Linked DNA regions of Kluyveromyces lactis. The protein of the gene in region 1 interacts with the protein of each later gene in a biochemical or structural test. Links are inferred from orthologs where the notes say so. Each region holds a gene or a part of one and is shown on either strand. Other genes may lie near its edges.

Evidence for each region.
Region 2: of the proteins of MCM3 (region 1) and CDC7, one has a biochemical effect on the other in vitro, tested with the Saccharomyces cerevisiae proteins (2 studies listed by BioGRID). The link is inferred for Kluyveromyces lactis from reciprocal best matches to the Saccharomyces cerevisiae genes MCM3 and CDC7.

The regions. Positions count from the first base shown.
Region 1 is NC_006041.1:1,980,033-1,984,079, forward strand, and holds MCM3 (MCM DNA helicase complex subunit MCM3), read left to right. Parts: upstream 1-1,242; coding exon 1,243-4,038; downstream 4,039-4,047. UniProt on the Saccharomyces cerevisiae protein: Acts as a component of the MCM2-7 complex (MCM complex) which is the putative replicative helicase essential for 'once per cell cycle' DNA replication initiation and elongation in eukaryotic cells.
Region 2 is NC_006039.1:396,643-399,848, forward strand, and holds CDC7 (serine/threonine protein kinase CDC7), read left to right. Parts: upstream 1-1,256; coding exon 1,257-2,684; downstream 2,685-3,206. Other genes in the region: DAL1 (allantoinase), read left to right, coding at 1-250; ERP3 (Erp3p), read right to left, coding at 337-1,056; trans-2-enoyl-CoA reductase (NADPH) TSC13, read right to left, coding at 2,989-3,206. UniProt on the Saccharomyces cerevisiae protein: Serine/threonine-protein kinase. Needed for the initiation of DNA synthesis during mitosis as well as for synaptonemal complex formation and commitment to recombination during meiosis. Required for HTA1-HTB1 locus transcription repression.

The DNA of each region.
Region 1 (4,047 bases):
TTTATCCTTGCATGTTTTCACTTGTCCATCTTTCTGTGTTTCCACAAAAGTCGTTTTCCTTCCTGGAACGGTTTTGGTTGCTACTCCCGGTGTTCTTTAGTACGCTATCTAATTCCCCATTTTTTTTCGTCTACTGTTAAGCATCCAATTATATATATTAACTTATATGATATTCTGGGTGTTTTACGTGGGTTTTCAGCAATGGGATGGATTTTGAGTTATAATTGTTGGTTGGAGAACAAGAAACTGTTTTTTCTTTTCTGGAAAACACTCAATCGCTCCTTTCCTTGTCAAGCGTCATTGATGGAAATACTATCAGATACGTTATTCTTTATCACTTTCTCCTTTTAAATCAGCTTTTTTCTCTCTATTCCAGTAATTTTTTTTTTCACTCAATTAAATATCATTATATCCTTAATTCTATTTCTTATATATTTAAATCTTCTTTAACGCTTCCGTTTGTCGTTTTACATTGTCATTGAACCCTGTTAATATGGGGTGTGTGTACTCTTCCGCACTTGCAGACTGCCAGTTACTAAACGGTTGGGAAACCATCCTTGTTTTATTTTTTCAAATTTTGGCTCATCGTCGATAACTTTCAATATCAAAAGCTCAATTGTAGGCAAATATGATTTCGTTAGATTACTTTCTTTAATACCATCTAATGTCCATACTAGGTTCAGAACGTTGGCAAGGGTCTGTAGTTTCTTCTTGCACTGTGAAGCGCGGTATAGTATTTATTATTTACCAATTCACAATATAATGAGTGACATCTTCTGGATCATGTGATATGAACCTAACATCATTTTATCATATAACATGGCAACATGGCCGAGCGGTTAAGGCGAAAGATTAGAAATCTTTTGGGCTCTGCCCGCGCAGGTTCGAGTCCTGCTGTTGTCGTTATTTTTAACCCCTTCTTCCTTTATTTTTTGACGCGTTGCCATTTCTCATTACCCGGAAAATTATTCCTCTTTCTTTTCCAAAAACGGAAAAGATATTGACGAAAACATCAAATCTCATTTCTCTTTGCCGTATTCTGTTGGTAAAATACAGCTGAAACTCGATTCTGACAAAAATAAACTAGAAGAACCATATCAAGAACGTTTCTATCCCAGAACAGCACTGGTGCCAATGAAACATTAATTTTTAGCACCTTCATTTTAATAATATTATTGCATTTATCGCTCCCTGTTTAAAGGACTTTGCTACTGAAAAACACCATAAGTACCGAATTCAATCATGAGTGATGCTATGAATCAAACAAGTGATGCTGTCTTTACAGACAGAATGCGAAGGTTTCAAGAGTTTTTGGATACCCATTCGCATTATACTCGAGAAATAAGATCAATACTCGAGTTTAACAGCAACGTAGTGAAAGAGAAAAAGACGGATGATGATTATTTAAATACTGCAGACAAAGATACGATGGACCATGACACTAATCAATTGCCATTGAGAATAACAGTATCACTTGACGATTTAAGAGAATTTGACAAAACATTTTGGACTGGACTTTTACAAGTACCCTCGTTCTTTTTACCACCAGCGGAGCGTGCTGTTTCGGAGACTGCAATGGCCTTAGATGATAGCCCTCTCGGGTTTCGCGGATTCCAAAATGATCCCAGCAGACAATGGAGACTGTCATTCAAGGGTTCTTTCGGTCCGAATTCTTTATCACCACGTACCTTAAACTCAACACATTTGAATAAATTGATCTCAGTAGAGGGGATTGTAACGAGAACCTCACTTGTGAGGCCAAAACTTCTCAGATCCGTGCATTATGCCCAAACCACAGGCCATCATCATTACCGTGATTATCGTGATGCGACTACAACATTAACCACATCCGTACCAACACCAGCTATTTATCCAGAGGAGGATCAAGAAGGTAATAAGCTGGTCACAGAGTATGGATTTTGTCATTACATGGATCACCAGCGAATCACCGTTCAAGAAATGCCCGAAAAGGCCCCTCCTGGTCAATTACCAAGATCCATTGACGTTATCTTGGATGATGACTTAGTGGATAAGACAAAACCAGGTGATAGAATTAATATTGTTGGTGTATACAAGTCATTAGGTGCAGGTGGTCTAACAGGTGGTTCTAATAACAACGACAAGGGTAACGGTGCTTTATCTGGTTTCAGAACTGTTGTAATTGGTAACACAGTGTACCCTCTACATGCCAGGTCTACAGGTGTGTCCGCCGTTGAAACGCTATCAGATAATGATATTAGAAATATCAATAAGCTATCAATGCATGATAATATTTTCGACACTTTGTCCCAGTCGTTAGCACCATCCATCTATGGCCATGAACACATTAAGAAAGCCATCCTATTAATGCTTATGGGTGGTGTGGAAAAAAATTTACCCAACGGTTCACATCTAAGAGGTGACATAAATATCCTTATGGTTGGTGATCCATCCACCGCTAAATCTCAAATGCTTAGATTTGTGTTGAACACAGCAGCATTAGCTATTGCCACTACGGGTAGAGGTTCCTCTGGTGTCGGTTTGACAGCAGCCGTCACTACTGATAAAGAAACTGGTGAAAGAAGATTAGAAGCAGGTGCGATGGTGTTGGCAGATCGTGGTATCGTTTGTATCGATGAGTTTGACAAGATGTCCGACGTAGATAGAGTTGCTATCCATGAAGTTATGGAACAACAAACAGTAACAATCGCAAAGGCTGGTATACATACAACATTGAATGCTCGTTGTTCAGTTATCGCAGCTGCAAACCCTGTTTTCGGTCAATATGACGTTAACAAAGATCCACATAAAAATATTGCCCTACCGGATTCTCTATTATCTCGTTTCGATTTACTATTTGTGGTTACGGATGATATCAACGACATCAGAGATAGAGCTATCAGTGAACATGTCTTGAGAACACATAGGTACTTACCTCCTGGATATTTGGAAGGTGAACCTGTTAGAGAGCAAATAAATCTATCATTGGCTGTTGGTGAAGATATCGAAAACGAGGAAGAAGATGATGATGAGGACGTAGTTTTCGAAAAATTCAATCCACTTCTACACGCCGGTGCGAAGCTTGCAAAGAACAGAGGTGATAGCAATGGTAGCGAGCTTCCTCAAATTGTTGCGATACCCTTCATCAGAAAATACATTCAGTATGCAAAAGAGAGAATTATTCCTCAATTGACTCAAGAAGCTGTAGACGTTATCATCAAATCATATTCAAATCTAAGAAACGATCAGAACACCAAGAAATCCCCTATCACGGCAAGAACTCTAGAAACTTTAATCAGATTATCCAGTGCTCATGCCAAGGTAAGGCTTTCAAAGAAAGTAGAACTAGAAGATGCAAAGGTAGCAACACAATTACTAAGATTTGCATTACTAGGTGAGGACGGAGCCAACTTCGACGAACAGGAATTTGCCGAAGGCAGAACAACCGAAAAATCTCCAAGAAAGAAGCCAAGAGCTTCTCCAAGGAAGAAGAGAGGGGCCGTTTACAAAGAAGTTGACTCAGAGGATGCAGAAGAGGACCAGGAAATGGCAGAGACTCAACCGGATCCTGCTGACGGTCTGGAATCTACGATGGTACGGTTAGCACCAGAACAAGAGGAAGACCTTCAAAGAAGACTAGAACAAAACTTGAGAGTGAGTCCGAGACGCCAACTATCAGTCGAAAGAAGAGTACTTTCACAAAGCGACCATCAACAACAGGTTCTCCACCACTCCTCGCAATCCTCAACTGGACCCCTTGAAACTGGCTCTCAATTGGAACCGTCTCATATGACCCTTGATTTTATGTCCATCGAAGAGATGGACCAGGGTTCAATCTCAACCGGTAGGTTATCGTCACTCTCAGGTATTGTTGCAAGACTCATGCAATCAGACATTTTCGAGGAAGAATCGTATCCTGTCGCCGCACTTTTCGAAAGAATTAACGAGCAAGTTCCAGAAGAGGAAAAATTCACTGTTGATGAATACGTTGCTGGTCTAAGGATTATGAGCGATAGAAACAATTTAATGGTCGCGGATGGCAAAGTATGGAGAGTATAATCTTAATTT
Region 2 (3,206 bases), on another chromosome or scaffold:
TGATCACAGGAAGGGTTTCCTAAGAACTGGATACGACGCAGATTTTGTTATCTTCGACATCAATACCTATCAGACTGTCGACAACGATAAAGTTTATTTCAAAAACAAACTGACAGCCTATGATGGGTTCAAACTGAAAGGTTTAGTGAGAAACACCTATGTTAGAGGAAAATTGGCTTTTGAACTTGACGGCATGGGACATAATAAAAACCCTCCCGGCCAGACAATTCTTGAACGCAGAAGAACATGAAGTACCCCATCTTCTAATCATTTTTTTTTCTTCAATTTTGAATTACCTTTATTTGATGCATGATATACATATTATATATATATCACTTATGATTTAAATTTACCTAGAATATACTTCATTATTATAATTTCTAGAACAGCAATCGTCGGTACAAGAACTATGGAGCAAATTGATATGGTGACCAACCTCGATGCTATTGATTTAACAGTGTGGTGGTTTCTTTCTGCACGTGATTTGTACAGCTTCAAATTTCTTTCCAAGACTTGAAGCTGATCCTCTATTATATTTACAGAATCTTGCAGTGTCCTCACCAGTGAACTATCTATCGTCTCTCCTATCAAACGAGGATCTGCTGGCTTCGGTATCTGATCGAAACATATCTGTACAATGTCTAAATCAACAATCTTAGGATATTCATCACCAATGACACATAACGCATATTCACCAGTATGTTTCGCAGGAAATGTCCATTGCCCTTGCTCTTCGTCATCTTTGTAAATCATAGGATACTCTGTATCGTCCGGAGACCATAATTCATAGCTTACTCTGAAGGCATTGTTTTCTCCCTCTTGTACTGCGAAGTAATAAGATATTTTGCAGTCACTGTCATCAACATCAATGTAAACACATTCTTTCCCATTCTTCTGTAATTGTACCGTTATTGGTGAGCTTTGACAGACAATCACAAGCGAAAATACCCATAACCATGTAAACTTCATATTTAATAAGTTATACATGAAGGTTGCTTTGTGTGTAAATGTCCTTTTATTCGACAATTCCCCTTTTAACGTCCTGTTTCTGTTCATTAATATATGTCATTTCAATGTGAACTACTGCTGTTTGTTATTATATTTGGTTTCGACAATAAAAATGAAAACATCGCCAAAAAATGCATAGAATAAAAGAATCAACGGATATAGCGTATCTGTTCTTGTAGAGTCAAACCAATGGGTATACAGCTCGTCTGTTAGGCTTCATATTAGGTGGCAATATACACACTATAATTATGGATGACATTCCCGCTGAAATCATCCAGGAAATGGATGATTTGTACGATAAGGTACCACAGTTGTCATCCAGATACAAGCTACTGGATAAGATCGGAGAGGGGACCTTTTCATCGGTATATAAAGCTCAAGATCTTAGCAACGTATCTGGAAGGTTATACCCTGATCATTTCTGGGATAAGAATAGTAAACATGTGGCTATCAAGAGGATATACGTGACAAGCTCGCCGAACAGAATTGAAAATGAACTTAAACTCTTAGAGTTACTGTCAAATTCGAATAACGTAGCACCATTATGCGACGCGATTCGATACCAGGATCAGGTGGTTGTCGTCTTGCCCTGGTATCCGCATGAAGAATTCCGGCATTTCTACCGAGACATGCCTATCAAGGGGATAAAGAAGTACATGTTTGAACTTTTAAGCGCCTTGAAATACGTGCACTCATTTGGAATCATTCACAGAGACGTGAAGCCAACCAATTTCCTATACAACCCAATACTTGGGAGAGGTGTGTTAGTAGACTTTGGTTTGGCTGAAGAGAATGAAGAGTTGTACTTGCCTGACCTCAACTATCGTGTGTATGTTAATGACCAGGGAGAGAAGGTTTGTAATTGTTCTTCACCGTATGCTAACAACAAAAAGACATCACATCTGCCGTTGATATCCATTCAGAACGGGCAGCTTAACGTTAGAGGGGCAAATGAATTAAGTGCTGCACAAAGTGAGAATCTCATGAAGGCAGAATTGAGTAAGGGGTACCCAAAACATGAAACTAGGAGGCAGCGTAGAGCTAATAGAGCTGGTACGAGAGGGTTCAGAGCGCCAGAAGTGCTTATGAAATGTTCTTTCCAAACTCAAAAAATTGACATTTGGTCAGTTGGTGTGATACTGTTAAGTTTCATCAGCAGAAGGTTCCCAATCTTTCAAAGCATGGATGATATTGACGCCTTTCTGGAGATATGTTGCATTTTTGGAATCAAGCCCATGCAAGAAGTCGCCAAGTTCCATGGGTTGGGACTAGACATGACAAAGGTTCCAGGTTTCCATTCGGAAGGATATCCTGGGGGGCTACAAGGTTTTGTGAGAGCTTTACTTGACAAAGAAGTGGAGGAAGGAACATTACCAGAGTATTCCATAGCGTTCGAGACGTTGGATTATTTGACACAATTTGACAAACAACTCACGCCAAGTTTAGGCCCAGACGATGAAGAGGATATTGATGATAAAATACGGAGCTACAAACAAGCAGTTTGGGACGATCATTTTTGGTGTTTTGATCTCTTGGCAAAATGTTTCGAACTCAATTCATACAAAAGACCCAGCGCCAGTGATCTTCTTGAACATTTATGGTTCAAAGAACTGAACGAAGATTTACTTGATAGAGATCAAAGAAGAGAAGATCACTTCACCGGGGTCGTTGAGTAATGAAATCCAGAACGAAACAAAAATATTTGACGAAAATTAGCATATATTCACCGCAATAACTTAGAGCAGAACTCATTTTTTATATACATGCATTCATATATAGAGTTCTTTAACCGATAGAGTAATTTAATACTTTGCATTCATCATCATTATTATATTTAGTTTACAAACGTTGCCAACGCTTTGACGGCATAAGTTAGAGAACAAGTGCGTAAATAAACGAGTAAAACAGCGTTATTCACTTAAGAGAGAATGCTATAATACCCCAAGTCAAATATGTATGTGGTGATAGTAATTGGTGAATTCAGAACAAGAATGGGATCAAGAATGCTCTCTTGGTACCATATTTCTTGTTTTTCTTTTGAGCCCACAAGTACATCTGAACCACCGAGACAACAAGGAAAAGAACTGAGAATAAGTTCAACTTGAACAACAAAGTGAAAAACATCCAAGCCCAAGATTCAAAAGTGTAATTTGGAGCGACAAGTAGTTTGAACAACCCAGAATTCAATGGGACTCTCT